4 linked regions of the Yarrowia lipolytica genome follow. The protein of the gene in region 4 purifies or fractionates together with the protein of the main gene of each other region. This does not show direct contact. Links are inferred from orthologs where the notes say so. Each region holds a gene or a part of one and is shown on either strand. Other genes may lie near its edges.

Region 1 (6,195 bases), on a different chromosome or scaffold from region 4:
ATTCCAATCTGGCTGAGCCTTGTTGTGTGGTTATGTAAGTAGATGTGGTATCTATCGGTTAGCTAATATTTATTGTGTATTAAAAGAGCGGAGCAGTAGCTACAGTACCACGGGTCTGTATAAGTACGAGTACATGTGTTGGATGTACTGTATAATGGAATGAAACAGTTACAGTATGATGTACTCGCATATGTAAGCTACGATAATATACTATATGCATTTACAGTATAAACTGTTGTCTGGATGTTTGGAAGTTCTACACGTGTGGTCAAAAACACCATTAAATATATTAAACGTTCATTTTCATCATGTTTCCTTGTCTAAAACTCCATCGAACCCACGTTGGCAGCCTTGACTCGCTCAATTTCCTCCTTCAAGAGCGGTTCCACAAAGTTATCAAACACCTCGACGAAGGGCTTGAGTCGAGTCTTATCAGAAGCGTGCTTGGAAACAGTACCTTGAGCATCTCCCTCGTAATTGTTGAAGTCGTCAATAATCTCCTGCAGTTTAGGACAATCCTCTGGGGTGAACAACAACTCATGAGTGTGGCTGTCGACGTCCATGGGCACACAGACGTTGGAGGTCTTTGGGTGGATGCAAAAGGGCGATTTCAGAAGATGGCCTGTTCCTCGAGACACGGCTCCATCGAGCTTTGGCATGAAAACAGTTAGAATCACGTTTTGTTTGGCCTCGACGAGCCTCTTGGTATCCAGGTTCGCAGATACTCCCGAGGAAGCCACCTTGTCGATATCGCTCCACTTGTCTGCCGAGCTAGCAGAGTCTCCGTTCTTCTTCCATTTCTCAGCCAGGGCTCTTCTCAGCTTTTCGTCCGGAATGAACGCCAGCAGGAATTTGGAGCCCTCCTCATTGGCCCAAGGGTCCTGGGTCTGCAGGACAACCTCGTTGAATACGGTGGTGGCGATATCAAGACACCGCTGAAGATGGGGATGCAGGGGACGTCGAAGACTCGAGTTGCCGGCAGCACTCTTGTCTGTAGCGTCTCCAAATGCAGCAATGTAGGAAACAACTGTAGAACGCTGTCTGTCGTTAAGATCACGAGCCTTCTTGTCGCTGACCCACGCATGGGCTCCTCGTCGGCCCGAAAATACCCACATAATGTGTTTGTATCCGAAATCCTCCTTGAGAGCAGAGTTGACCATCTTAACGGCTACCTGCACGTATCTCCAGCACTTGTTGCAGACGGATGCTCCAGAACAACACGTTCGGAATTTGTCGTAATCGTCCATATCAATATCGAAGACGAGCTCCTTAGAGACAGGCTTAAACACGTCCTTTCGCAACTTCTTTCGGTCCTTGGGCGAATGTGAGTAGACCGCTCCGATCTCGAATCGCTCAGGAACAAGATCGTCGACTCGAGACTTGAATTCACGCTCCTCCGCGAATGAGTTGAATCGCAGATACGCACCGTTTCTCAGAGTGAAGGCAAACTCTCGATAAGCAAAGTCTCGTCCATTTCGGGGAGAGTGGTTGAGCCATCGATGAAGCGTCTTGAAGGGAAAGAAACGCGAGTAAAAGAGTCCGAGGCCCTCAAAATCAACCTCGGGGGCGCTAACCGAAGTCTCGGGTTGTCGCGTCTCTGGAATCTCAGGAAGAGGCTCCTCAATTTGTTCCATGACATCGTTCATGATAGCATCATACAGCCCCTGCTGTGGAAGTCGTGGAGAAGATGAAGGTGGCACAGTGATGTCAGTTGGGGGCTCCGCGGTCGATACGGGCGAAGAGGGCTCGGATACTGTCATTTGAGCTGTAGTATATGTTGCGTGGGGTAGGTGTGCCGATTTGAGATGTCAACTGTAGAGGACAAAAAAAATGAAGGTGCAGTACGATGCTAAACGCGTCTCTCCAAGTTGGGAATCAATTTAACTCCACGCGTTGCGAAAGACGTGATTAGAGTTGGGGGGTATTATAAATGACAAATAAGACATGGGGAGATATCCATCATACTGTACATTGAGGATCAAAAAGATATTGCTGATATATACATATACTACTTACTAAAACGGTTATATTTATTATAAAGCTACCGTTGTCTGTAAAAGATGGACTTTTCCAAGGATATTTCCTTCTATTAGGCATAGGGGACTGCGACGAGTGGATGCTGGCTGAGAGTGATCGCATGAAAACAATACTGTGAATGTTCCACTGAGACTAAATGAGAGGGATGCAGGTTTGGTTAATTGCCAGTCCTATTTGTACGGTAAGATGCTTGACTGTTCTCTTCCCTACTGTGTCTATATCTGTGAGGTTCATCCAATCCTATATTCTCAGAGAGCCTTGCAGATGTTCACTCTGCATGAGTCTGTATGGTTTGTCAGTGTCAAGTGTTGCACTATTCTCCCTCTGATAGTGTAAGCATGAATAAAAACAATAGATGGTTACAGATAGTTGTATAATTCTATGAGTGAGCTTGCCAAAGATGCTACTTTCTTTAATAGCATCGTGTGGTTCTGTACAGTGGTCTATGTAACTCCTTGCCCTGTTCACATTGCAACTTCGACACTGGAGCTCGTTATACAACCTACAAGCTCCTCGAGCTCGTGTTGAAGGTATCACATCGATCTCTGCCACACAAATGTCTCTTACAGCGACTGTTCGGACATGACGGAGGGAATAATGAGGTAGCTATCCATGACGCATGACGCCAGCTACAGTACCCACTGTACATACGGTATCATCGGCATAACGTGAGTGATGGCATCGACAGAGATATGACGAGTGATCACTGAAATTTTCAATCCCCATCTTCGCGTCCCTTTACTCCCCGTGTAGCTTCTCGTTTTTGTTTCTCGTTTATATATCCCCTTTGACGTCAGTTGCGCGAAATATTGTTTGAATCGAGATTTGCAACAAAAGTGCCCTGTGGCTTTGAACATAGCCATACCGTACATGATTAAGACAGAAAATGAAACCAAAATACCTGTAAGCATTGAAAACCTGCCCTTTTATTTCCTTTTCCACTATTTGACCAACTGTTCAACCCCAAATAATGTTCAACTAACTCCATTCTTTAGTTATCCAATTTGTTATGAATGTAATTGGGAACAATGGAGACATTTTGTTCTCCGAAAAGTAGAACACCTCAATTAATTACAGCAGCTAGCTAAACTTGTCATTGGATGTCATTATAGACAGACAAGAAATCATTGATATGAACTAATAGGTGGACTAGTTTCACCTCAAATGTGTTATTGCAATCGCTTCAGCATAACCCCTACAATCAGCCTGGTACCACTCAAATCAGCTTACTAATCAGCACACCCAACGACAACAAAGACACACGACTCCAAGCAAGTGTCTCCATCTCAAACAACTATCGTCAATCAATCTTTTGCCCTTATCATTAATCATTGATCAGACCCGGTCATTCCATCCCATTGGACTAAGTACTGGTACCAATAGCACTTCATAACCGCCACCTGCACGTGACGCCACCTAACCTTGCCACCTTGTGTATCTGCATCACTACTGACTCTCTGAGACCCATCCAACACCACACTACACAATCACAAGATGGATATCGTTCTGGGACTGCGAATCAAGGGCGGAGTGCTGGTTGCCACTTCCAAGGCTGCCACCCGAGGTATTTCCGTCATCAAGGTCGGTGACGACAAGACCAGAGAACTCAACCCCAACACTCTGATGGCCTACACCGGAGAGGCAGGAGACACAGTCCAGTTTGCCGAGTACATCATGGCCAACACTCGACTGTACGGCATCCGACACGACATTGAGCTGTCTCCTTCTGCCGTCGCCTCCTTCACTCGAAACCAGCTGGCTAAGGCCCTGCGATCACGAAAGCCCTATCAGGTCAACGTCCTGATTGCCGGATTTGATCCCAAGACTGAAAAGCCCACCCTCAATCTCATCGATTACCTAGCCTCCAACGTGGAGTTGCCTTATGCCGCTCACGGCTACGCCGCTTATTACACAATGTCGCTACTGGACCGACACTGGAAGGAGGGTATGACCCAGGAGGAGGGAGTGGTCCTCATGAGAATGTGCATCAAGGAGCTGCAGACCCGTCTGCCCGTGGATTTCAAGGGCGTCTACGTCAAGGTCGTGGACAAGGATGGCATTCGAGACGTCTCTGCTCTGGTCTACCCCGACGAGTACCCAGAAGCTGAGGTGACTGAGGAGCTGGAGGTCCAGCAGGGAGAGATCGCTGCTTAATCAGTATTGTTGATTGAGCATAGCGGGATCAATGAGCGCATCTAAATGAATGGACGAGGTCATTGAGAAACTGGCGGTTTGTGCTGAGCATTGAGCTTCCTACAAGATCGCAATTGGTAGATTATAACTATTATATTTTTATGTTAAGACGGTAACAGCAGTAGAAACTGATGACGTGCACTATGTTACAAGTACAGGTACTGTACTGCAGTATGTGTCGGCGACAGTCTGGGCAGCTATGTATCTGTTAGTTAAGGCGTTCCAACCTCCGGAGGCCGCCGGAATTCCTTGGACATGAAGTATGGTCCATTGCATGCCTTCTGGTGTTCTTCGAGTTCCTCGCGGGTAAAAAATCTGTTATGGTGCTGGCAATAATATGGGTCAACAACGATCATGACGAGAGAAGTATGGTGTGTGGTTGCTGGTGGTTAGTAATGCTGATGATGCAGTGAACAATGATGGTGCAGTAACAACTACTGTATAGTTGTTTGTTTCCAGTTGTTCAATTGCGCATCCAAGTTCTTTGGTTATGCTAGTTGCTGTTGATTTGTGTGTCACGTTCTCCTCAGAGAGAGAGAATGCGATCTCGGTACTGACGGGGATTGCGATAGACTGGTCCAGGGCGTATATGAGGTTTGCTTGTGGCTCTGTGGTTGTAAATTTCAGCTCAGTTATTGAAATGGTGCTTTCGAGTATCGTATCGTACGTCTTACAGTCTCTTGCTATTATTATGTGCTTCCTTCTGGTGAGGCTCAAAGGGTGGTTACTGTGACTGCGTCCCAAAAGACTGAAACGGTAGTAATAACCAGGGCTGTTATAAATATATCATTAGTAGACAAAGAAGATGGGTGTGTGTCTGATCAGTCGCCTACAGCTGTGCACCGCGTCGCATCCAACAAGTATCATGAAAAGAGGGGTTGGCTGTGTATCAGCGAGAAGATGTGGGGATGACGAACTTGGTGTTTACTGTATTGTAGGTAGAGAGCAACAGCATGTGTTCTAGAGGATTCCATGGGGTTTTTCATGAGACAGATATGCGACAATGGAATTGAGTATCGTTGATGAGCCTCAGGTAATGTGTGATGTATTAATTACAGCTCTCAGTGACGACTCGTATGGAGATGAGTTCCCTTCACCCGAAGTACAAGTCTCACAATTTCACGTCATTTACTTGATTCTATACTTTAGCAATATAACTCGGTTTGGAGTGGAAGCTTATTTAAGGTTCTAGAAACATGCATGCAGTTCAACACTCTTCTTCATAATCGAAATCTACAATCAGCATACAACGACGACCATGGATGAGCTAGAGCAGCTCGAAATCATCGCCCTGGTTTCAACTCTAACCCAGGAAATCAATAATTACACCGGCATTAATGACAAGACGCTAGCTGAATTTGTTCTGGGTATGTACGAGGAATCCAAGGGAGACAGAGATGATTTTGCAACTAAACTAAAAGCTGTTGGTGGCGATTTCCCAGACTCGTTTGTGGATCGTATGCGCCAGCTTATCAGTGATCTGCATCCGAAATACAGAGGCAACTCCATGCCTGCCCCCGTCAAGGAGGAGCCCACAGTGAAGAAGGAGGAACCTTCTGAGAAGCTGTCTGTTCTGACCATGAAGGATACAGCCCCTATCAAGAGCGATATGGGACCTGAGGAGGTCACCAAACCAAGGAATGAAGAGCGAGACAGGGAGTACAGAGATAGATCAGATCGTCGAGACCGTTCGAAACGACGAAGTCTGAGTCCAGATCAAGGAGAGCTTGACTTGGAACCCATTATCAACAAGGTATACAAGGGACGTGTCAAGAACCTGACTTCTTTCGGTGCATTCGTGACTCTGTCTGGGTTGAAAAACAAAACCGACGGTCTGGTACACGTCTCTGTGTTGGCAGCGAATCGGGTGGATCATCCCTCAGACGTGGTCAGTGTGGGAGACGTTGTATACGTCAAGGTGTGCAAGATTGATGGAAGGAAAATCGGCCTGTCTCTCAATGACGT
Region 2 (8,095 bases), on a different chromosome or scaffold from region 4:
TGTACTAATCGAGAGAGTTCTTCTACAACTTCTGGTTACTCTGGTTAACTCAAGTAATTGCAGAACTACAATACCCAGAGGCGTCAACATATCAAACAGACCATTGGAAACCCTACACCTCCATCACCTCTCCCTACACATCCCACCTCCGATCTTCAACCATTACCAATTCCGTCTCGCTCCCAGTATCGTAAATCACAGAGAATTCATAAATATGTACATGCTGGCGATGGATGACATCGCTTATCGTCGGTTCTTTCCCTGGGGAACCATCTTGGGGTAAAGTCGCTTGGCGTGGAAGTTGATACTGTCCTGCTGCTTGACGGGTTTAACCTGAGTTAGAATTGCAAAACGAAATTAAACCGACCCTGTCGCCTCAATCATCTCCAACCCTTCTCCTCTCATACTCACACTCTTGCAGGCAGCCATCTTGAACTCCTGTTCAATCTCCTTGCAGGCCTCGGAGTTGACACCGTTGGATGACCAGCACGCCAAAAGTCGAGACAGAAGCTGCACGGCCTGGGGGGCCTCGGCGGTCTGCAGGTTCTTGACACGCAGATACTTGAGCTTGGGCAACTTCTGGGCGGTCATTTTTCGAGACTTTGTGTATGGTGATGTTGCAGTGAAATTTTACTGCATGTTGGAGATGCTGGTGGTTAGGGTTATTAGTCAGCAAAAAATGGAAGGAATCTGGAAATATACGATACGGCGGATAAACGGGGTCTATGGAGCATTGTCAGTTACGGCTATAGCTAGATTACCGACGTTTTTTTTTCTTCGGTTTCCCCCCCCCCCACCTCATTTCGCCACGTGACCATAAATCAAATAAGGTTTTATTATAGCGGTCCGGGTAACTTCCTATTTGAGAAGTCCCACTCAACTTGCATGGAAATAAATTTACACGGCAGCTCTTCCTTTTCTTCTTCTTCAGACACTTCGGCTAGAAAGACGGTGAGTAATAACGACACACCACACGGTGGCGAACGCAGCGAACGCAGTGGAGCGATGCAAAAGCTGAAGAGCAGGACCTCAAGGAGCAACCACTAACAACAGCACAGTTTTCTTTGCAGACGACACCGAAATGCAGATTTTTGTCAAGACCCTTACCGGTAAGACTATCACCCTCGAGGTGGAGTCTTCCGACACCATCGACAACGTCAAGTCCAAGATCCAGGACAAGGAGGGAATTCCCCCGGACCAGCAGCGACTTATCTTCGCCGGTAAGCAGCTCGAGGACGGCCGAACCCTTTCTGACTACAACATCCAGAAGGAGTCCACTCTCCATCTCGTCCTGCGACTTCGAGGTGGTGGTAAGAAGCGAAAGAAGAAGGTCTACACCACCCCCAAGAAGATCAAGCACAAGCGAAAGAAGAACAAGCTTGCTGTCCTCAACCTCTACAAGGTTGACGATGACGGAAAGGTTGAGCGACTTCGACGAGAGTGTGAGTCTGAGTCCTGCGGTGCCGGTGTCTTCATGGCTGACATGAAGGACCGACAGTACTGCGGCCGATGCCACCTCACCCTCAAGGCCTAAATGTATTGATTTAGTTTAGTATATTTATCTCTTGAACAAAAATCAACGCTGTAGATTGTTTAAAAATTTTCTAAGTAGAGCTGAACACCGCAGCGTCTGTTTCACGAGCGAGATACCGCTCAGTCTGTAGTTGTGTACCCGTACTTCATTCGGTCTACATCTTCGTTGCAATAAATAAAACCCATCATTGACGCTGGGTGATTCCGCTCATGCCCTGTTCCAACATGGGTCTCAACATCTGGCCAAAGGGAGTGGCGAGCACGTTTTGGCTGAGCGACGAAATGTCGACCGGGATGTCTTTGCCGGTCAGAAACTGCGACAGCTCCTGTGTGAAGTGGTTGCAGTTGTGGTCAAACAAGTTGTACTTGTCGGGGGTGTATTCGCCCCGAATCTCGTTGAGGTACTCCTGAATCAGCTCCTCAGGCACATGGGTCTCTCCCAGATCCACCACCTTGTCTGGAATGCCATGGTGGGTCTTTCCGGGTTGAGCGGACTGGATTCCGGCTCCGTAGTACCACTCGGTCTTGTTGTCGATGACGATTGAAGTGTGCCAGATGCCGTCCACCTGGGTGCCGAGAAACTGCTGAGACATGGACTTGGCCATGCCGTGCGAAAGATCGTACACATACAACTTGACTTTGTGGGTTTCTTCGGTCATGGTCCGCGAGTCTCTTGCAGTTTTGTGTGGGGTGTTTCTGTGTGGGTGTTAATGGCTGTGGACGGGGACCTCACCGCGTATTATACTCCCTGGTCGATATGCCATGGTCGTGTGGCGGTGGCGGAAACTTACCTAAAGCCGATCTCTTATCTGCGGTATTACTAACCGGTTAGGTGGACTTAAGACAGCTTGTGCTAACGGATGTGAGGCCTTGGAACAGGGGCGAGTGATAGCACTCGTCTTTCCATGGGGCTCTTTTGTACTATTCGCCATCACGTGCCCTAGCATCCGTTAATGTAGGCCAATCGGCTATTGTCGTGGTATCCACCTGGAGTATCGTAATTGCTGTTAGGTGGAGTATATACTTGCGGTAAATGCTGGTATGATGGCTGTTTGGCACTGCAGAGAATGTTCGAGAAGACGGGTGGCGACAAATGGATCAATTTGAGGGGAAAAGTTGATGAATAAGCAGGAGCACTCTGGTTTAAGCCGTTTATCTGTGATTTTCTCTGATTTCCTGCGATTTTTCCACTCTTCCATTCACCCACCTTTTTTTTTCTTTCCCTTTTTTTCCCTTTTTCTTTCCCCTTCTTTTTTCAATACTGTAATTCTTTTTATTTTTATAATCGCTTATTATCTCACCACGCGCCTAACCCAATCCAAAGAGGTTATTAACAACGGGGAGTTGTAGCACAAGGTCCATGTAGAACGCCATCCAGACTCGGTAAACAATGATCCACTATCAAAATCGCATCAATTAGACGTATCAAATCGGCCGACAGCTTTTTCTGCCTGTCCTCAGTTGTCATCTCCTCAATACATCCACCGTCTTCTATCGTTGCGGTAACACTCTACTCCACTGCCCTAAACAACGGCAACGAATCATAGAACCCCTCCATCTCGTAAACGGGCCAATAAAATGAGACCCCGAATTGAAAAAAACAATGAAAACACCGCAATCAATAGATATATCCACTTATCTCAGCCCCACAGCTTTCGTTGCGTTTTCCTTACTGGCACATTCGCCTCCCCCCAGCGGTCACGTGAGGTGGCAAAGTTACAGTGTAGGTAATCCACCCAACACTACATCACCACAAGTCCAGACGCCATCTACGCCCCAATCGCAAAAATGGCCACCACCGCAGCCCCAATTCTGGCGCTGCTCGACGAACCAAACTACGATCTCAAGACCCATGCCCTCGAATCGCTGGATGAAAACATCACCCAGCTGTGGGCGGAGGTTTCCGACCACGTGTCCCAGATTGAAGAGCTCTACGAAGACAAGGACTTCCCCAAGCCCGAGCTCGCGGCTCTCGTGGCCTCCAAGATCTACTACAACCTGGGCGACTACGAGTCATCCATGAAGTTTGCTTTGGCCGCTGGAAAACTCTTCAACTTCGATTCCTCCTCTGATTACGTCGAGACCATTGTCAGCAAGTGCATCCGAGAATATATTGAGGTGTCGCAACAACACTACGAGGATCCGTCTGCGCCTGTTCCCGACGCCCGTCTCGCCACGGTGCTCGACCAAATGCTGCAGCGATCGTACGCCCAGGGCCACCTGAAGCTGGCTCTCGGAGTGGCGCTGGAGGCCCGACGTTTGGACATTATCACCAAGATCCTCGAGACCGCAGACACCGAAACGACCGTGGAGCTGGTGCATTACGTGTTGGACTGCGTCGTAACGGTCGTCTCTTCGCGCCGGTTCAAGGACGAGGTGCTGTTGGAGCTCAACAATGTCATCCTGGGTCTGCCCCAGCCCGACTACCACGCCATCTGCAAGATCATCGTCCAGCTCAACAGCAGCGAAGGCGCCTCTCGGCTCTTCAAGTCTCTGTTGGCCTCCAAGGACCCCGACTCCACCCTCATTGCGTACCAGTGCGCTTTTGATCTAGTGGCGTCAGGCTCGCAGCAGCTGCTCAACGAGGTTGCCGCCGAGTTCAAGGACAACGAGACCCTCGCAAAGATCCTCTCCGGCGTCCCTACCTGCGACTACGACCTCACATTCCTTAACCAGAACAATAACACCGACACACAGATGCTCAACCGGACCAAAAACTCGCTTGACCCCAAGAGCTCCATGAACCACTCGGCCGTCACCTTTGCCAACGCATTTCTGCACGCCGGCACAGCCCAGGACTCGTTTATCCGCTCCAACCTCGACTGGCTCTCCAAGGCCTCCAACTGGACCAAGTTGTCGGCCACGGCTGCTCTGGGAGTCATTCACAAGGGAAACCTGTCGCAGGGCCGACGAATTCTCGCTCCCTACCTGCCCCAGGGCGATAATGCTGCCTCCGGCTCACCCTACACCCGGGGAGGCTCTCTGTACGCCCTTGGTCTCATCTTTGCAGGCCATGGCAACGAGGTGCTCGACTACCTTCAGCAGCAGATTGAAGACACAGCATCCGACGACGGAGGCGATGTTGTGCTGCACGGTGCCTGTCTGGGTATCGGTGTGGCTGGCATGGGCTCCGGAAAGGCCTCTCTTTACGACAAACTGAGAGACGTGCTGTTTTCGGACTCTGCCGTGGCCGGAGAGGCTGCCGGACTCGCCATGGGTCTGGTAATGCTGGGATCTGCCGACGATGATGCCCAGAAGGAAATGTTCCTTTACGCACACGAGACTCAGCACGAGAAGATCATTCGGGGTCTGGCTCTGGGCCTTGCTCTTGTCAATTACGCACGAGAGGAGTCTGCCGAGCCCATGATCGAGCAGCTGCTGGCCGAGCAGGACCCCATTCTGCGGTACGGAGGAGCCTACACCATTGCTCTTGCCTACGCCGGCACCGGCAACAACAAGGCCATTCAGCGACTGCTGCACATTGCTGTTTCTGATGCCTCTGATGACGTGCGACGAGCAGCTGTCATTTCGCTGGGTTTCATCCTTCTGCGTAACTACACTGCCGTCCCCCGAATGGTCGAGCTGCTGTCCGAGTCGCACAACCCCCACGTGCGGTACGGAACTGCCCTGGCCCTCGGTATTTCGTGTGCAGGCACAGGTCTCAAGGAGGCGGTGGAGGTGCTTGAGCCTCTGACTAAGGACCCCGCAGACTTTGTGCGACAGGGTGCTCTTGTGGCTCTCGCCATGATCCTCATCCAGCAGAATGAGAAGATGAGTCCTCGAGTCAAGACTGCCCGGGAGACCTTTGCTCATGCCATTGCCTCCAAGCACGAGGACCCCATGGTCAAGTTTGGTGCTGCTCTAGCTCAGGGTATCATTGATGCCGGAGGTCGAAATGTGACCATTGCTCTTGAGAACCCCCAGACTGGGTCTCTTAACATGAAGGCCATTGTCGGTCTGGTTGTCTTCTCGCAGTTCTGGTACTGGTTCCCCTACACCCACTTCCTGTCTCTGTCATTCAGCACCACTGCTGTCACCGGAGTCAACGAGGACCTCAAGATCCCCCAGTTTGACTTTGTCACCTCTCACAAGCCCTCCTACTTTGGCTACCCTCCTCCTGCCGAGGAGGTGGTTGACAAGGCTCCCGAAAAGGTTGCCACCGCCGTTCTCTCTACCACAGCTCGTGCCAAGGCTCGGGCCAAGAAGAACGAGAAGGATAAGGCTGACAAGATGGAAGTTGAGGAGAAGCCCGAGGAGCCCTCCTCCGCCGCTGCAGCATCTTCAAAGCCTGCCAAGGAGGCCAAGGTGGACGAGGACGCTGATAAGCGAATCCCCGGTCAGAAGAAGTGGCGTCTTGCCAACTTAACACGAGTGCTGCCTTCCCAGCTCAAGTATATTTCGTTTCCTGAGGAGAACCGGTTTGTGCCCATTCGAAAGTTGCATTCTGTTGGTGGAGTTGTGGTTCTGAGAGACCAGGAGAAGGGCAAGGGCGGCAAGAAGCCTCAGTTCATCAAGACGGTCCGACAGATCAACAATCCTTTTGATGATGAGGACGACGAGGCTCCTCTGCCCGAGCCTTTCAAGTACGTCGAGGAGACCGAGTAAGCATATTGGTAATGATTGTTGGAGAACCGAGCAAGGGCGTAGAGTGCCTGTAGATGGAGCGCACAAATGACTGGGCGTGTACACTGTTGTTGTGCAGTTGTAACCAATATATAAAGAACAGCTTGCAATGGAAGGTGCAATAGAACATGGAGTTGAAAACTAGACGACGAGAAAAGCGGGATTGAACGAAGTCCCTTCTATTGTAATGTGTTGCCACTGGTCCATGATATCGACGGCACTTCTCTTCAGCTAGATCCAACGTAAACATGACTACACTGGGCCAACTCATAAACGAGTCAGCAGCAAGACCCTAAGTATCAGCTGCCTGAAAAGGAGTGGCTCGGTGGCTCGTTATCTCATGTTCGATTCATATGAATCTGTTCGCACATACCGGTAAAAGTACAGACAGCATGTAATCAAGAGACTACTTTCGAAACGAGCCAGTCGCTGTTGGTCTTTCACTAGTAAAGAATATCTGAAGAGACGCAGTACAGTATTTACTCGTGTTCCCATGCCTGGGTACAAGAGATGGACCGATAAGCAGTAGCTCTTTTACTACATCTACGCGTACAGATTCACTTGGCCACTCCATCTGTCAGCAGCCGGTCTGCTATTACTTGCCTTGTACTTTTGCTCGTTCAATATGCATAAATTATCTATTGTCTCTGCTGAAATCTGGAGATAGCAGGAGACACGTACTCCTCCACATATCCCTCCTCCAGTCGTCGCTTTTTGTTCTCTCGCATTCGTCGCTCTCGCTCCTGAAGCTGCTCCAGTCGCATCTGCCGCTCGTCCACCACACCCTTCTTTTTCTTCTTTTGCAGCTCCTTGCTGACGGCCGTCTCCTCGTCGGCCAGATGGGGTTGCAGCTCGGGCATGTCGTCGTCCGACTCTTGTGCCCGCTTCTTGTTGGGCTCCGTGATCTCCTCCATCTGCTCTCGGGCCGTCTTTCGTCGCCGGTCCTTGTCCATGGCGATTCGTCCAATGTCTTCGGGATCCATGGTGATCATCTCGGGCTGGAGCTTCTGCAGCAGTGTTCGCACCTCCTCCTCTCGTCGCTGGTGTCGCGTCTGGTAAGGGTTGACTTCCAGAGCGTCAAAGTTGGCCTCTCCGGCTCCGGGAATGATGAGTGAAGAGAAGCCCTCGGAGTGGCCTACTCCAAGGATGTCTTCAAACGGCACAAACTGCGCGCTGCTCACCTTCCAGTCGGGATGCATGTTGTGTTGCATATAGGGCTGCTTGGGTCGAGGAGCAGATTGCACGTCCTTCCACACGGTGATGGTGTTTCCGTGGCCCACAGAAAGCAGGTTGGAGTCAGACCAGTTAACCGTCTGGGGCGCCACCTTGGTTCGGGGCAGACGCAGCACCTCCTTGTAGGTGTTTCTGATATCCCAGACCTTGACGGACGAGTCGGAGCCAGCCGTGGCCAGGTATCGTCCTGATCGGTCGACAGAAACGTCGTTCACGGGGCCTCGATGGGCCAGCATCTTGACCAGAGGCTCGTCCACGTTGGGCGACCACATGGTCACGGTTCCGTTGGAGTGGCCGAGATTCATGATGGCATTATAGGGGTTCTGGCACTGGGAGGTGGTGGGGCCCAGTCTGGTCTTGAAGGCAGCCACTTGCTTACCAATAGATACATCCTGGTAAAAGAGCATGCTGGTGAGACCCGACGATACGAGCAGGTAGTGGTAGGGCAGGAAATCGAGGTTGGTCATTTCGATCTGCTGCTTGAGTCTGTGTACTTCGGATCCCTGGTGGTCATAGATGAAGACATTCCTTTTCTGGGCCACAGCAAAGTATTGGTCGTTATGGAGCCACTGGACCGCACGAACAGTCTCGTTGAGGTTGAGTTCAAACTGTAGACGTCCCTCTCGCCAGTCAAACGCTGCCACATGGCCCTTTCGGCCTCCAATGAGCAGCTTTCGGCCTGTTCGGGTGAAGTTGATGTCATAGG
Region 3 (6,483 bases), on a different chromosome or scaffold from region 4:
AAGAACATCATCTCGGGCGAGGTGCTCGGCGAGTTTGACAAGAAAGTCGTGCATCCTCTACTTGGAGTGATCAAGCAAGACGCTGCTGTTGGAGCTGACGGATCTTGTGAGTTCTACGACGCTGCGCTGGATAACAAGTCTGTTTACAGAGAGGCCGGCATGGCACCCAGCAAGCCTCCTACCCCTGTCAAACTGGACACCCCGACTCGTCGACGGACGTTCGTGCCTACTTCCGGACAGCTCCCCGGAGCAGGTGCCCAAGCGGGTGACGGACTTCGCCATTTCTCCCACAGACTGATGGATGACCGACGAGGCTCTTCAGGATACACCCCGTCCAGCTTCGGCAACACCGGACCCAGTGTGCCCAACCATACCACATTGTCTGGATCTCCTGTTGGCCGTCCTTGGAGGAGAAAGCAGTAGTGGACGTATAAATACGGCCCAACTACCAGTATATATTTAATTAATGCATTCCTTCATAATGAATATCGCCGCCCTATAGTGAGCGCTGACGTGCAGTTGAAGTGTTCGTACTGCACAGTCAAAGACTCGTGGGCGGCCAGGATCTCGCCATACGCTGAAATGATATCTTACATGTTCTATTAATTATAGATGCTACCTAATTATATACCTAAATATAATCATTCCTACTCGGTATCTCTCTCTATCCTAAAGTACTACAAGTATAGAGCTCTCGCAGTCGCATGTACTAGTCCTCGCACAACCTCTTAAACCTCGTATCCGAAAATGAGCTCTTCGGCCCGCTTGGCGGTCCAGGACAACCAGCCCGTCTTCTCAGCGAGACCCGTTTTCTTGACTTTGGGGTTGGTGATGGTCTTGGAGGAGGGCTGCTTGAACACGGTGTTGGTTCCGTCTCGAATCTCCAGCCGCTTGGCGCCGTTGAGAGCAGGCAGCGATGTGGTCCGAGGCAGACTTCGCTCCGAAGAAGAAACAGATGCAGATGCTGAAGGGTTGGGGTAGAGGCTAGTGTTCTGCTGCTGAGTCTGGGGGAACTTGGACTTGATGGGCGAGTCTTGGTAGTCTGAGTCCATCATGCTGGCGTCGTGCGAGTCCAACATAGAGGCCGAAATGGCGTCAAAGTCGCGCATCTGCGATGGCGTGTACGGCTTGCAGCCAATTACGTACTGGCCGGCAAACTGGGTGCCGTCTTCGGCCAGCGCTCGGATCACAGACGCCTTGTTGTCATAGGTGATTTTGATCCAATTTCGGCCAGCAAAAACAGGAGGTCTGTTTCCGGGAGGAGGCCGCTTGACTGGGGTGGTAGACAGACCGAACGAGGCGTCGCTGGGCTCTACGTTCTCCATGATCTCGCCAAAGTTGTTAAAGTGCGACACGATGGACGGCGTGAGATGCTGGGGGAACCCGTAGACAACGACGGACAGGTTGCCATCGCTGCCCATCGCCAGTTTCCGGGGGGTGTTAGCATGGTTAAAGGAGGCAGTGGCTCGCAGAGTCTTTCGAGCGGCTGTTGGGTTACTGCTGAAAGTCTCCGAACGACGCATCCCCGATCCAGCCGAGTTACCTCGTCGAGCAGCACTAAAGGGCGATCCTCGCGAGTCGTAGATGGACTGTGTGGGTGGTAGCTCCTCCTCGGTGATGGTATGAGTCTGTTTCTTGGTTCCGGAGGGCTTGGGGGTGCCGAAGGACGAGCCTCCGACGCCCGAAGGAGGGGATTCTCCTGCCTTGGCAAGCGACGACTTCATTGTAGGGGAAGTAGACGCTCTTCTAGTGAAGCTGGCAGATCGTTCGGGGGTACGATCGCCGGCGTAAAAGGATGACTTCTGCTTGATGGCCGAGAGATGGGAGGGCACGAATCGTCGGTCGTTGGAGGTCCAGGAAGGAGCACCTCGAGACGATCGGAAGCCTGGAGTCAGCGGGGCACTGTGTTCTCTCATTTGCTGGTTACCGGCACCATAGCTGTTGCCGTTGGATGCTCCTCGTAGATCGTAGGCCGATTGCGAGTGCGACAGGCTGTACGAGGGGGCCCCTCCGTTGTTGTTGGCGGAAGTTGGAGTGGACAGAACGTCGCTGTTGAAGAAGGAGGACTGGGACTGGTTGAGCGACGCATTGCCCAGGGAACCAAACGACGTGTTACCGTTAATGGTGGACGTGCCAAAGGTCGACTGTTGGCCAAACGAGGGCTGGGCCTGGGTCTGGGTCGTAGAAGAGGTGCCAAAGGGGCCTCCAGTGGACGCTCCGAAGCCTCCAGACGTCGACGAGGTGCCGAATCCGCCGGTGGACGACGACTGCGAGTCGAACCCATTAAACTGACGCTTGGCGGCTTGTCCAAACATGCTGTGGTGCGGTTTCGTGTTTTTTTTCTGCCTGTGTTTGTTTGCAAATAAATGTTGTTGTGAACAATGTGCTTGTCACAGGCACTCACAGGGTTGGGACACAGTTTGAGTTGGGAAGTAGGGTCTTGACTGCCAGGTCGTGCTGTAGGTGGGTGAGTGGGAAGTAGCAACGAGTAGCAACGAGGTTGATTGTGGCACATATCGTGACCGAAAAAGATACGGAATTAATCCTTGCGAGATAGGAGGGCGATTGGCAGACTCAATCACTCTTCCGATCCGCTCAATCACCCCTCCTGGAGTGTCTGAACCATCGCTGTGTGTGTATCCATAACCTCTTCTGTTATGGTCAAAACAAGACCCAAGCCATATGCTGTATCTAGAATGCCGGCGAAGACAAAAACAAGTTTTGTTCTCATCAGGAGAAGTAGTAAACCAGACCCCATAAAAACCGGACCCCAGGACCCCTATATATAATCTTGTTCCCCCGCCACTCACCACATTCAAAGGGTCTTGCTTATTAAGCGACAACCTCCCAAACCTTAGCTGTCAATGTACCGCCACCACATACGACATCTGGTCCAGACACATCTCACACTCTCAAACGACACAATGACTCTAGAAGAAACGCTGGCAAGCGCCAAGACCGCCGGAGACAAGGGCAACCTCGTGGAGGCCGAGAAATTGTACCGGGAGATTCTCGATCAGAAGGCTGGAACCAACGAGAAATCGATCCAGATCCAAGAGTCGGCTCTCATCAATCTCGGCACTCTCTACGCCTCCAACAACAAGCCCCAGGACCTCGCAGACCTCATCCATACTAGTCTGACGGTAATGAGCGGCTTTGCCAAGTCCAAAACCGCCAAAATCATCAGAAACCTCATTGATCTTTTCGCCAAAGTGCCGTCTGACTGTATCGACCTGCAGATTGCCACCACACAAAAATGTATCGAATGGGCCGTTTCGGAGAAACGAAACTTTCTGCGACAAAGCCTGCAGACCCGGCTGGTGTCGCTGTTCCTGGAGAAGAAGACGTACTACGATGCGCTCAACCTCATCAATACCCTGCTCAAGGAGCTCAAGAAGCTCGATGACAAGATGGTGCTTGTGGAGGTGCAATTGCTGGAGGCCAAGGCGTACCACGCTCTCAGAAACATCCCCAAGAGCCGAGCCTCTCTCACCTCTGCACGAACCTCCGCCAACGCCGTCTACTGCCCTCCTCTCACCCAGGCTGCTCTAGACACCATGTCTGGTATCCTGCAGGCAGACGACAAGGACTATAAGACAGCATTCAGTTATTTCTACGAGGCATTCGAGGGCTACGTGGGCCAGGAAAACCCCAAGGCTGGCACTGTACTCAAGTACATGCTACTGTGCAAGATCATGTTGAACCTGGCCGATGACGTGGAGACCATTCTCAACAATAAATCCGCACAGGCGTACCAGGGTCGAGACGTGGACGTTATGAAGGCGGTGGCAGTGGCCTATGCCAACCGATCGCTCAAGGAGTTTGAGCACGTGCTGGAACTATACAAGGAGGAGGTCCAGGCCGACCCCGTCATCAGAGTGCACTTCAACGACCTGTACGACTCGCTGCTGGAGCAGAATCTGCTCAAGGTGATTGAGCCCTTCAGCTGTGTCGAAATCAACCACATTGCTGAGATCATTGGCCTCGACACCCGACAGGTGGAGGGCAAGCTGTCTCAGATGATTTTGGATAAGGGCATCAAGGGAGTGTTGGACCAGGGCAACGGCTGGCTATTCATCTATGATGAGCCTCAGACAGATAAGACTTACGATTCGGCTCTGGAGACCGTCAAACACATGTCCACCGTGGTCGATTTGCTGTACGAGAAGGCCTCTTCTCTCAACTAAGCAATGTAAAGTAGCTTAATGAAATGATGAAGATGAGAGGGTGTTATTACTAGTAGGAATAAGACTGGAAGTACAGACTGGAGTATTTTAATACTAATAGTGAGGTCTAATATTGTAGTTATGATTAATTATGCAAACATCTATTTCAGTCACCAGACTAATTCATCAGAGCAGAAGCCTGGAAAATGCACTGGAGGAACTCTTCCAGCCGTCCGGAGTCGACAAAGTCCCGGTAGATTTGTTGCTGGTCGTCGGCAACAAGAACAGACAGTTCGATGGCGTCGGTAACAAATCGAGGGTCAATGTGCCGCGATCTGACATAGACAGACAGTAGCTGAAGAATGACATAGGGGATGTAGATCTGTCTGAGATGAGACAGGTGGGTGTAGTCCTGTGGCCTGATCTCTTGGTTCTCTGTGTATTGTTGCAGGAGTTCAATGAGCCAATCGTGGATCAGCTTGTCGGACTGCCGTGCAATCTCGGTTACCTTATGGGCAATCTGGGTGTTATTCTCATGGGTTCTGGGGGAGTTCATGAGCTCTTCCCAGCTGTGCACGGCGTCCAGGAAGAGAATGAGATCGTAGAGCTGCTCGAGTTCCCGAGCGACAAGCTCGTCGAGCTCGTTACCATCGGCTCCCAGAGTGTCTGCCTGGTATTGCTGCATCAGCATGGGCACATTGAGACGCATACCAGCTTCTCGGGCAGCTCCGACCTTTCCACAAAGCAAGAACCGTCTGAGAAGCTTGACAGAGGCATCGATGGTCTCAGACCACATTTTGACGTCTTCAAACCACTCCACAGCCCGGTAGAGGCGCACATCGGTGTCTTCGACCTGGTTGTCGAACTTCACAGCAATGATGTCAGGAATGACGTACTGGGACATGCTTTCATCAAAGACACGCGCAACAGCAGCCTTGACACATGCCTTGATGTCAACTCCGTATTGGTTAGCCAGGTGTATCTGCTGCTCTCGTTCAGAGGGGTCGGAGATGTTGGCCAGGTAGTAAGAGTATTGGTCAGTGACATCTTCCGAGTCTAGGAAAGAAACATAGAGAGGAACCAATTCCATGTGTCCCTCTCCAGCCAGCCGTTCAACGTAGGCAGAGATGATGTTGTAATGGCTGATATCCAGTTCTTTCTGGCCTCCATATCCATGGCGAAGAGCAAGTAGAAGATGCACAAGAACACGTAGAATGATGGAAGACTCGGAAACAGCATTGGGCTGGCCCGTGCTAGCAGCAACTCTTAATGCGTCAGAGGAGGTGGACGCAATGGTCTCAATTGTGTTGTTGATGACCGCTCCCACAAAGGTTCGGATGGGGTTCATGGCCTGTCTCTTGACGTCAATGTTAGAAGACTCGGCCAGCAGTTCCAGAGCGTCCTGCATGGAAGACACGTGACCAGGACACACGAGTGGGATCAGAGCCTTAGTCTTAGAAGACACTCGGTGAGCATCATTCAAGGCCTGCTCAAATTGATCGCTGCACATGTTGTTAGTGTACGCCAGCAGTTGTGTCTCCCAGCTGTCGCTGACCTCCAGAACCGTGCCTACATCTCCTCCCAGGAAGCCGTACACGGCCTTCTCGTAGTCTCCGATAGGCGACGCAGCTACACTGAGACACATTCGTCGCCATAATGCGGTTCGTGTGGTTCCCACAGCCTTGGCGTCGTCCAGAGGATCGACATCAGTGTCCTCCATGGCTGCAAGTCCGCCAATGGCCATCTTGAGCGACAAGTTTCCGGTCTTCTCAGCCAGTTGACTGGCCTCCTTGATCTGTCGTCTTCGGATGAGATCAAAAATGGCCCGGAAGAGCTTGCTGTCGTATCCGGCGTCTTCTCCTGCAATTGGTTTCTTTTGTCGAAGGGGGGCATCGGCGTCCATCTCCGAAACCAGGGTGCTGGTGTTGCCCACAGATCCTCCCCCAAGTCGTTTTTTGGAAGCAATGTCGCTCTTGGTGTGCATCCACTTGGAGCCCCAGATCTCAATATTCTCGTGGTCCGACGGCGTCAGGTTGTCTTGCAGCCACCGGTTGACCAGAAACGTCTCCATCACACGAAGATGGGTCTGTTTGTACTGTTGAAGCACACTGGCGTCTGAAGAGAAGGGGAATACATCGGTAGTGGTACTGTCTCCCTCCACGTCCATCTTGTCGTCGTTGTGAGTCTCGGCAAACCGCTCTCGGGCCTCAGAGAGGGTCGCAGTCAGCTGCCAGAACCGGGCCTCCAGTTCCCAGTTGCTGAAGTTCTCCGAGTCCATAGCTTCTTCTGTTTCCTGGGCCGTTTGGGCAGCCAAATC
Region 4 (10,637 bases):
TGCCCTTGCCCAAGAGACGAGGCAACGGAAGCAGTGGATCTACTCCTAAGGCTTCCAATGGCTTTTCTGGACTGTCCAGCTTCGGTTCTGGAGCTTCTCCTGCGCCCCAGATGTCGTTCTCTTCTCCTAGCACTACCGGGGGGTTTACCAATACCAACACTACCAACAATGATTCAACATCAGATACTACATTGAAGCGTATTGCAATGAACGAGAAGTTCGTGGACACTATTTTCGCCAAGGTACGGGAGAATGCCGCAGTTGATTTGTCTGATGTCGTGAGCAAGTATCTCGAGTACTCTAAGACACTTGGAGGTGACCATGCAAACGTTGCTAACAGCACTACCAGCACCACCAGCACAATTTCTGCGCCTGTTACTACAGCCACACCGACTCCTGCTTCTGCCGACAAGCCCAAATCGTCGCTTTTCTCGTTTGGAGCTACTAAGAACTTTTCCGCTGCCAACACAGACACTGAGAAAAAGGACACTACCTCCACCAGCACTTTTACATCATCACCCTCCTTCAACTTTGGAGCTGGGGCAGCCGCAAAGCCCGCAGTGTCGAAACCATTCTCTTTCGGTACATCTAGTGATACCAAGGAGGATAAGCCTGCTGTAACTACTCCCTCTTTTGGTTTCCCTAAGGCTGACACTACTAAGGAGACAGACGCCAAGGACACCACCACTGCTGCCAAGCCCTTTACATTTGGATCTTCTACTCCTTCTGGACCTTCTTTCAGTTTTAACAAGTCTGGAGCTGATGTTGCCAAAGAGAAGACTGCTCCTTCTTTTTCGTTCACAGCTAAGAAGCCCGAAGAAAAGAAGGAAGAGAAGAAGCCTGAGCCCGTTTCTGTGGACTCCGATTCCGACTCTGACGACGATGCCATTGACATCACCAAGGGCCCCAGTTTTACTTTAGCTGCACCTCCCACTACCACAAACTCTGCTTTCTCTTTCAGCAAGCCTCAGAGCGAGGTGAAGAGCACAGGTCCTTCGTTCACCTTTGATAAGAAGGTTTCCAGCGGTCCTTTCAATTTCAAGTCCGAGACCAAGACTGAGGAGAAGAAGGAGGATAAGCCGGAGGAGAAGAAGGAAGACAAGTCCGAAAACAAGAAGGACTTCACCTGGAATCCCTCTCAGGGAGTTGTTTTCGGCAGCAACAAGACCGAAGAGTCTGCCGACAAACCCGCATTTTCGTTTGGAAGTACTTCTTCGGCAAAGCCTTTTACTTTTGGCGCTAAGGCTGATGATGCTGAAGACAAGCCCAAGCCTGCTTTCTCGTTTGGATCTAAGTCCGCCGAGTCATCTGACAAGCCTGCCTTCTCATTCGGAGCCAAGCCCGCTGAGTCAGCCTCTTCGGACAAGCCTTCTTTCTCTTTCGGCACCCCTGCATTTGGTGCTAAGACTGAGTCTTCCTCTGACAAGCCTGCATTCGGTGTTTCTTCCGGTAACCTGTTCAAGGGTGATACCAAGGGGGAGACTAAGCCTGCTGCTGCTTCTTCCACCGAGTCCGGTGAACCAGATGACACCCCCAAGACCGTCACAGACTCGGATGACCTGTCAGGACAAGGACCAGGTGAGGAGAACGAAGACAATGTCGCCGAGTACCGAACCAAGCTGTACAAGCTGGATGACGGAAAGTGGGACGTGTGTGGAGTGGGTCAGCTGAGAGTGCTGGTGGACAAGGACACAAAGAAGGCCCGAATTTTGATGCGAGCAGAACAGAGTGGACGAGTGCTTCTCAACTGTGTGGTTCGAAAGGAGTTGACGTACTCGACGACAAAGTCGAACGTGAACATTGTCGATTTCGACGCGGACTCGAAGCCAATCAAGTACATGGCCCGAATTAAGACTGCTCCTGAAGCTGAGCAGTTGTCAGCTAAGATTGAGGAGGTGAAGTAAGGAGAGGGGTTGACATGAGGTGATGTAATTGAATACGTTGTAACATATCCCATGATTAGTAAATGCATGGAGGAGGGTATAGAGGGTGCTCGTGGCATACAACTGGGACCGGCACAAATAGGTGTGTCCATTCTGTATATATCTTAGTGTTTACAACATCCATTACACTTTAGTGCCCTCTCTCACTCTCTGCAAGGAGATAAGGAGTAAATCCAAGGGGGATCGTATGGAATTTCGACGAGTATCGTGATTTTCCTTCGAGTCAACAAAAATCCCAACTAAATTTAAGTGTTGTTAACAACCTAAGTAATAGATCTTCTACAGGCCACACTCAGTTCCACAATAGCAAGAGAAGAACAAGCCATTATACTCGAACAAGAATGATAGCGATTGAATCCAATGCTACTGTACGTACTGTACTCCGATAACTTCAGCCTGTCATTCTTCCATCAAATTCTTCACTACATACAACGCCAATTCATATGTTACATCCAAACTAATGGCACAACGTCGTCATACTTATAGGCGAACATAATCACATCATACTTTTAGAGAGAAGAGAACAAAATAGAAAGGCAACATGGGGATATTATGACATCAATCAACTCCTCCAGAGGAGCTGATCAAGACTATATAATTTTGATCCCTCTATTCTCTCTACAAATCCCTCTACACTCCCCCCCCTTTTTCTTCCCCTCATGTATGATCTCAACGGCAATACCATAACATAATAGCTGAGGTTACAACCAGTACGTAGCAGCTAACACCGCGACGATATAAGAGGCCACAGACACCCGAAATGAATGTTTTTTTTTTTTGCACCCCTTCAGTAACAGCACGTGCCCACACGACACCTCACGTGACCCATTTGCACCCCCTTGCACCTCGCCACCGCCACCATGCAGTCCAACCTAGATCTGCTATCGCCGATAATCTCTCTCCACTACAACCACCTCAGCATGGACGAAACACAAGAATTGCAGCTGGTCAACGCGGTGGATCTGCGGATCACAATGGCCAAAGAGGACAAACTGGGCGAGACGATCGGCGTCTATCTGGTGCCTCTGTTGACCAAGCTGGCGTCCAAAAACGTGTCAGTGCGACAAAAGGTGGTTGAAATGTGCCAGCATATCAACACGCGAATCAAGAACACGACATTCAAGTTGCCTGTCGACGCCTTGGTCAAACAGTTTGTCGAGAGTGACAGTGAACTTATCAGAAATTTCGATCTCATGTACATTGAAATGGGTATTGCCAGAATGGGTGATGATGTGAGTATTGTGGGGCGATAACTCCTTCAAAGGGTTAACAACCCGCTGCTATTTATGGGCTACAGACAGTTTGCGGACCCCATAATGATACAGACAGGTGGTGGTTCCACAACTCAATTGTGTGCCACACTGACATCAATGTCTGATCTGATATATGATACGATGGTGAAACAACAGATGTCTAGTTTAAATGTGATCTTGAAGATCCATGAAATCTAACGGAATGAATGCGTTAAAGCTAGGGTTTCCTAATACTATCCAAGCAACATGGCTTTCAGACCATGTCACTATCTGCAGCTATGATCTTTAGCAACACTTCCAGATACAACCTGCTCTTGTCTTTCATCCTCTACGGCCACTCATTACCGTTACTAACCCAGAAATCTACCCTCATCATTCCCCTTATCTCCTCAATTTCCACCCTCTCCTACAACCACTCCAAAGCGGTCTTCCGCATCCTACTTAAACTCCTCCCCTTCATGACCTACCCTCCCCGAGGATCCACTGAAGCAGACAAGTTTCGTGAAACCCTTGACGTCAACGACAACGACATTGCGTACCTCGCTCTTCGCTTCACAGACGTGTTCAATTTCTCTGCCACCAAGAGAACCGGAATGACCATCAGAGAATACGAGTTTCTGTCAGCCGAAGAATGCACCACTGCCGTCAAGAGTCACCTGCTCAAATTCATTAGTGCGTTGTTTACAGACACAGAGTCGTACATTCCTCTGTTGTGTGCGTCTACAGACGGCAGTTCAGCCATTGGAGAGCCAGCTAACGACGCCTGGAAGAAACTCCAGGTAGATTTGGAGTCCGAGATGCTTACTAACCAGCTCTATCAGCTTCTCCTCGGGTACAATGGATCTTCCCCTGTGAAGCAAACGACTCAGGCAAAGATTCTCGCGGCTCTGTGTCATTCGGTGCATGCTGCCAACGTCGATGACGCCTTCAGAGCCATCCAGTACTTCACCCAGACTGATTTCTACTCTCGAGCTGCAATCATCCAGTTTGTTAATTGGATTGTGAAGCATTCCAATGAAGAGCTGTTTTTGCGCCACTCTGGAGACCTTCTCGAGCGTGTTACTCACCTTGGAAACGATGCCAAGACCGCCGAGTCAGCACAGGAGCTCATGGGCGGTATCCTGCGTCGAGACTCTCGTCTGCTGAGTAACATTTCTCACGTGACGTTCCTATTTGACCGGAAAGCAGGTGACTCTTTGTCAGAGCTCATCAATCCGCTGGCAAAGTACCCCGAGACAGCTGAGAAACTGATTCCCCACCTGTCTCGGTACATCAGCCACCAGGCGACTCAATTTATGGCTGCTAAGTACGCAACTCGAGTCTTCCCCTATTCAAGCGCTCATGCGCGCTTCCTTTGTCTTGTTGGCCTTACTTTTGGCCGGACAGACATGCTTGAGGAGTGTAATCGGGGACTGAACCCTTACTGGATGCGAGCTGTTAATGTTCCATACATCACCAGCCATGATTCGCTCGACGTGATCAAGGGAACTTCGGATTCGGACATTTTCCAGTTTCCCGATGTGTTTGAGTTATGTAAACTGATCCACGAGTCGAAATTTGATCTCAAAAAGGCCGCAGAGTGGATGTTTCCCTACCTGGTTCGGTTAACTGTGGCTACAGCTATCCAGGGTCATGACACTGTTTGTGTGGTTGATGAACAGTGGGAAACACGTGTGGATGAAGCTCTGAAGAGTGATGATCACGTGAGAAAGCTCGTTATTGAGTATCTGAGCAAGACCGACATTTCTCCTATTCTAGATATCATTTCCACTCATCAGACCTTCTCCACTCTTCCTGAAGTGTCACTGGAGCTCTACTATTCCCTGGTTTCTCTGTCTACCAAGTCATACAATGTCTTTGATGCCAACAACAGCGTGGTTCAGCTTGCTCTGACCTCTCCCTACTACAAGATTCAGTCCCACGCTGCTCGTGTGATTGGCCTGGAGCAGAGCGAAGAGGTGGCTCATAATCTAATTGCTCAGTGTTTCAACCACGTGCCAAAGAACGTTGATGGACCCATTCTCGTTTTTTCCAACCTGGTTTCTTTCCTGTCTGAGTCAGACATCTCCTCCGCGCTGGAGATTTGTTCCACTCATATCGATATGGAGTCCGTTCAGACTTTCTTGAGTGAGATGAAACTGCACAGAATCTCTCTCGACAACTGGAGCCGTCTCGATGATGTCAAAAAGAAGACTCTGGTCAAGCCCACCGAGCATTCTGTGCTTGCATTTGCTTATCTCAACTTGGACAGTCCTGATTTTGAGTCCAATGTTGATAAGATCTTTGCCATTGAGTCAAAGCAGATGGATTTTGCCTTCTTCACCGGTGAGGCACTTTGTGTGCTTGCTGCTGGGTGGGAGACTAAGTTCGTCAAGCGAAAGATGTGGAAGATTGCAGATAAGCTGCCTGTGAGTTCCCTGGCAGAGGAGCGAGTGAGCCAGCTGACTACCAGACTGATCAACATGGCAAAGACGGTGACCAAGCCTTCTCTGCGGAAGAGTACCGCCATATGGCTTCTTTCTGTGGTCCAGTACTGTGGTCATATGATCCATGCCCTTCTTCCTCAGTTGCAGCTTGCTTTCATGCGATTTTTGCCTGAAAAAGACGACATTGTCCAGGAGGCTGCTTCCCGAGGATTGTCTCTTGTTTTCGAGCAGGGAGACTCTCGATTGCAGAAGGATCTGGTTGAGAATCTTGTCTCCTCATTCGTCACCGATAAGTCGTCTCACAACCAAAAGGTGCATCAAGAAACCGAACTTTTCGAGCCTGGAGTTCTCAATACCAACGACGGATCGATTTCCACTTACAAGGATATTCTTTCGCTTGCTTCTGAAGTCGGAGATCCCTCTCTCGTGTACCGATTCATGTCTCTGGCTAATCACGCGTCTCTCTGGTCCTCCAGAAAGGGCATTGCGTTTGGTCTGGGTAACATCTTTGCCAAGGCTTCGCTCGAACAGCAGCTGGCCGACAACCCTGCTCTTGGAAACACTCTCATTCCCAAATTGTACCGGTACAAGTTTGATCCTAGTACTGGACAAGTCATGGCCAACATTTGGAAGATGTTGATTGGCGAGTCTTCCACTAAGACGGTGAATTCCCATTTCGAGAGCATCCTCAAGGAGCTGCTCTCTTCCATTTCTTCCAAGGAGTGGCGAGTTCGACAGGCTTCTTCGGCTGCTCTTTTGGACCTACTTCAGGGTAGACCCATCTCTCAGTATCTCGATCATTTGTCCGAAATATGGACAGCTTGTTTCCGAGTCGTTGACGATATCAAAGAGAGTGTTAGAACTGCCGGTCTTGGTCTCACACGTGGCCTGACTACTGCTCTTGTTCGGTCTCTGGAAAGTGACTCCATTTCAGACGCTACTGCAAAGCAGGTGCTGGACCAGATTATTCCTTTCCTGCTCGGAAACTCCGGTCTGCAATCGTCAGCTGAAGAGGTCCAGCATTTCTCTCTGGATGTGTTGCTTCAGCTGATCAAGAAGGGCGGTTCTAGACTGAAGCCTTTTATTCCAGATCTTCTCTCCGAGTTTGTAGAGTTGTTATCCACCCTCGAACCGCAGGCAATGAACTACATTGCTCTAAACGCCGACAAATATGGAACGACTGCCAACGACATTGACTCGTCGCGCCTGGCTGCTGTGCGTCACTCCCCCATGATGGACTCCATTGAGGAGATTATCGACCTCTGTGACGCCGATCTGATGAAGAAGATTGTTCCTAAGCTGACTCTGTCAATAAGAAAATCGGTTGGGTTGCCCTCCAAGGTTGCTGGTTCGCGAATCATTGTTACCTTGACTATTAGAAAGACCCAGCTGTTCAAACCCTACGCTGGTCCACTTCTCGTCAAGTCAGCCATTCCCAGCATTTACGATCGAAACGAGACTGTGTCCAGATCGTACCTTGCTGCCTGTGGCTACCTGTGTCGTTTGGCGGACGACGAATCCGTTCTGAGCTACATTACTGAGTTGCAGAACCTGTACTTTGGAGAAATCCAAAAAGGTACTCTTGAACGAGCTCGAATCTCAGCTGCTATTGGAGTGAAGGAGATCGCTGCTCATGCCGCTGACAAGTTTGACTCGTTGTCAGCCTCCTTGTTGCCCCTCATATTTGTAGGCAAACACGATTCAGATCCTGCTGTCCAGGATGTGTTTACCAACATTTGGAATAACAACACTGGAGGCAAAGGGGCCATTTCTCTGCACATTAAGGAGATTATCGCTCTGGTTTCGCCCCATTTGTCTTCTCAGCAGTGGAACATCAAACAGATTGCTGCTACTTCCATTGCAGATGCTTGCAATTCTGTGGGTAAAAACGTTCTGAATGATGAGCTCTTCGAGGTGATGATCTCTGCTTGCCAGGGTAAGAGCTGGACTGGGAAAGAGGCTGTGTTTGACGCTCTTGTCTCTCTGGCCATCAAGTTCAACCTCCACGATGCCGTTGTTGATAAGGTGGTGACCACTGAAATCAAGCGAAAGAACCGAGAGTACCAGATTCTTGCGCTCAAGTCTGCGTCTAGGTATCTCGGCCACTTCCCATCGAAGCAGCTGTTTGATATTTTCTCTGACATTTGTTCTCTTTACCTCCTCTCCAAGTCGGACTTAGAAGACGTGGATATGGATTCTGATGATGAGGAGGAGCTCCTTAAATCCCAGAGTGAGGACAGAAGAAACGCCATTCTGGGCACTGCTATCAGAGCTCTGTCGATTGAGAGCACCGACGAGGACGTTTCTTTCCTGTCATCCTACTTTTCTCAGGTTTCCGAGTGGATCCAGCTTGCTTTGACTCCTCCCAAGAATCTGAACAAGCTGGCCACTAAGAAGTCTGTAGATCCTACATGGAAGACAAAGTTGTGTATTTCGCAGGCTCTGTATTCCGTTGTTATTGGTTTCTTCGGCCAGGAGAAGCCTGCTGGGTTTGAGAAGCAGTTCCTGGAGATTTGGACCCTGGTTGCTGATACTTGTTTGCTGACTACTAATTTGGACAAAACCAAGGTGGAGGTGTGTAAACTTGGGCAGGCTGTTTTGAACTCGAAGATGAGTGATGCAAGTAAGGAGAAGGTGAGAGAGGTGCTGGTATTGGCGGAGGAGCATGAGCAGTCGTTGATTGTCAAGGCTGAGCTCGGGAGAGTTCTGAAGAGCATCTGAACGAGGAAATCCGACCCTGTTGGTGATGTCAAATTAAATTGATTGCATCAGATGTATTATGATTAGATAGAATAAATTGATTAGATGTATTTTTCATTATTTTGTAATTACATAATACTGTATATTGTATGTATTCCACCTATTCGTTTAGTTAGTATTTAGTTGACATTTAATTAATTCTAATTAGTTAAGGTTACAATTATGGTGGGGATTTAGTTGGGATGATGGTTGAGATGAGGGAAGCAGAATGGTCTGCTCTAGACAGCCTCCCTCGCCGCTAGAACTGACATATAGATTTCTGGTGCATTATGTAACCGATAGAGAAATTCCAGGTTCTCCTCCATGTCTTCAATGCTCAACCACACTTAGTTTGCCACTCCGCGGTCATGCCGAGGTATGTTAAATGTTACATGAGTATGTCCGCTGTGTAAAGGGTAAAGGGTATAACCCCGCTGTTCTGTCCTACTGCATTCTCAACATGTTTCCCAACAGTTCCTTGGTATCCACTCTTGACCCGGTCTATGACTATTGTAGCTAGTGTGAGATAAAGGACTAGCCCTGTCTATTAGTTCCTACTAATGGCTATTCCGAGCTTACTGCATGTACTGTAGTAGAAATATAGGTCAAGTGCGAATGACGTAATTTTCGTTAGTGACACTGAATTTGATCATCAGAGTGTTTTCTGTCATTATCATTTCAGCGTGGCAAATTCATCTACATCTACCATTTCTCCCCCTATTTAATCCATTTTATACCGCAAAAATGCGTGCCCTAGCTTTTATCAACGCATCTACCCCACCTTATCACGTGGCGCACGAGGTGCATAATCGTGCAGAGCAAAGATGACGTCAACCGAGGGGGATGAGTGAGTAACGTGGGGCAGGGCATGTGGACGTGGACAGGGAGACATGTGACCAGCCCCCTGAATACGGAGGGGTTGTGTGTGTGTGGCGTGACTTTATGAGCAATTATGTCTCCCCACGTGATCCAGAACACGTGACCGGAGCGCCGTGGCTGCCTTTTCGTCCCGTTGTGGCGGTATTTAGTTCAATCTCTGATTGCTTTCTGGTATGGACATTTCCCGGGAGCTAATAAAGTAAGGGTCATTTGATGTCATCTTTGCGTGTCCCTTTTAGGCACTCTTTGGCCGTGCAAATGTTGTTAAATGGGAACCATGATTGGTGCTTATTTCCCGCAGTCATGTGGCAAACGGCGGTCCAAGGGCGGGCCACAGAGGGGTGTTGGCGTGGCTGGAGGCATTTGTGCGGACAATGTTATATATAGAGGGTTTCTCCCTCCCCATTTTCTCTATCCGGTCTATATTTTTATCCCTCATACCTCAATCATTGCGGTGTGATTGTTTTGGTCTTCCCCAGCTATCTTAAAGTTAAATGCGTTGATAAGGCTTGTTGTGAGATAACGTGCATACGCGTCACACACATCCATAAATAAATCTTGCTACGCGACTTTGACAACTTGTACACTTGTACACTTGTACACGACTCCCCCCAAACAAGACACCACACGCTTCCAAACACACGCTCCCAACCAGCCACTAGCCACCATCCCACCTAGTCACACACTGCCCAGACACAGAAACACAGACAAAGTCTCAGACACAAACACATCCACATTACTATCGGTAGAGTCCTTCCCGCCCTACCACTTGCATTGCTGCCACATAAATTGCGGCACGAAACACATCCATAGAATCGCAGAGTCTCTGAAGTCACTTCACCACTAAGGTACTCACCGTTCACCACACCGTTCACACATACCTTATCACCACTGAGGTACATCACTACAGCCTCACTACCAAGGTAATTTTTCCAAGACTCACTACACCACCTCTCCACAATGTCATACCTGTCGCCCTCTTCTTTCTACTCCTGGCTTTCGGGATCCAAGAACAGCCAGCGTGACACGGCAGAGCAGCTCTCGACAGTCAACGGCGGCCTGGTCCCCCTGGACCCCAACCAGCGGGTCGTCACAACCCTGGAGGACGACGACGAGTACGCAGTCGTGGGGCTGCGCAAGCTCAGTTACGCCGAGGTCGTCCGTCTCGAGGGAGGCAAGGCCACGCCCGTGCCTCGGATCCCCAACCCCAAGGGTGCCACCGCCCAAGCGCCCGCTCCTCTGGTGACAGAGGCCTCCGTGAACCGACGGGCGTACGAGGCGCTGGCGGACTTTTCCGACGAGGCTCTCGGGGATGCCAAGTACGACCCCATTCGCAAGTCCAACCGACGAAAGTCGTTTGCTGGCAAGTAAGTGCATCCTCTACCCGTGGTGCCTTA

The links.
Region 1: the proteins of YALI1_C05088g (region 4) and YALI1_B15092g purify together in Saccharomyces cerevisiae (affinity purification with mass spectrometry; 3 studies listed by BioGRID, with this or other methods). This does not show direct contact. The link is inferred for Yarrowia lipolytica from reciprocal best matches to the Saccharomyces cerevisiae genes ECM29 and PRE1.
Region 2: the proteins of YALI1_C05088g (region 4) and YALI1_F13395g purify together in Saccharomyces cerevisiae (affinity purification with mass spectrometry, with the first as the bait; 3 studies listed by BioGRID). This does not show direct contact. The link is inferred for Yarrowia lipolytica from reciprocal best matches to the Saccharomyces cerevisiae genes ECM29 and RPN2.
Region 3: the proteins of YALI1_C05088g (region 4) and YALI1_D11442g purify together in Saccharomyces cerevisiae (affinity purification with mass spectrometry; 4 studies listed by BioGRID). This does not show direct contact. The link is inferred for Yarrowia lipolytica from reciprocal best matches to the Saccharomyces cerevisiae genes ECM29 and RPN6.

The regions. Positions count from the first base shown.
Region 1 is NC_090771.1:1,506,539-1,512,733, reverse strand, and holds YALI1_B15092g (uncharacterized protein), read left to right. Parts: upstream 1-3,531; coding exon 3,532-4,191; downstream 4,192-6,195. Other genes in the region: YALI1_B15151g (uncharacterized protein), read left to right, coding at 1-38; YALI1_B15109g (uncharacterized protein), read right to left, coding at 321-1,760; YALI1_B15072g (uncharacterized protein), read left to right, coding at 5,489-6,195. UniProt on the Saccharomyces cerevisiae protein: Non-catalytic component of the proteasome which degrades poly-ubiquitinated proteins in the cytoplasm and in the nucleus. It is essential for the regulated turnover of proteins and for the removal of misfolded proteins.
Region 2 is NC_090775.1:1,336,273-1,344,367, forward strand, and holds YALI1_F13395g (uncharacterized protein), read left to right. Parts: upstream 1-3,321; coding exon 3,322-6,138; downstream 6,139-8,095. Other genes in the region: YALI1_F13366g (mitochondrial 37S ribosomal protein mS37), read right to left, coding at 244-333, 412-591; YALI1_F13373g (ubiquitin-40S ribosomal protein S31 fusion protein), read left to right, coding at 1,082-1,534; YALI1_F13384g (uncharacterized protein), read right to left, coding at 1,719-2,192; YALI1_F13446g (uncharacterized protein), read right to left, coding at 6,795-8,095. UniProt on the Saccharomyces cerevisiae protein: Acts as a regulatory subunit of the 26S proteasome which is involved in the ATP-dependent degradation of ubiquitinated proteins.
Region 3 is NC_090773.1:1,141,405-1,147,887, forward strand, and holds YALI1_D11442g (uncharacterized protein), read left to right. Parts: upstream 1-2,864; coding exon 2,865-4,187; downstream 4,188-6,483. Other genes in the region: YALI1_D11406g (uncharacterized protein), read left to right, coding at 1-423; YALI1_D11437g (uncharacterized protein), read right to left, coding at 729-2,315; YALI1_D11479g (uncharacterized protein), read right to left, coding at 4,345-6,483. UniProt on the Saccharomyces cerevisiae protein: Component of the lid subcomplex of the 26S proteasome, a multiprotein complex involved in the ATP-dependent degradation of ubiquitinated proteins. In the complex, RPN6 is required for proteasome assembly.
Region 4 is NC_090772.1:501,811-512,447, reverse strand, and holds YALI1_C05088g (uncharacterized protein), read left to right. Parts: upstream 1-2,863; coding exon 2,864-3,175; intron 3,176-3,555; coding exon 3,556-8,343; downstream 8,344-10,637. Other genes in the region: YALI1_C05125g (uncharacterized protein), read left to right, coding at 1-1,904; YALI1_C05022g (uncharacterized protein), read left to right, coding at 10,201-10,611. UniProt on the Saccharomyces cerevisiae protein: Stabilizes the proteasome holoenzyme, probably by tethering the 20S proteolytic core particle and the 19S regulatory particle.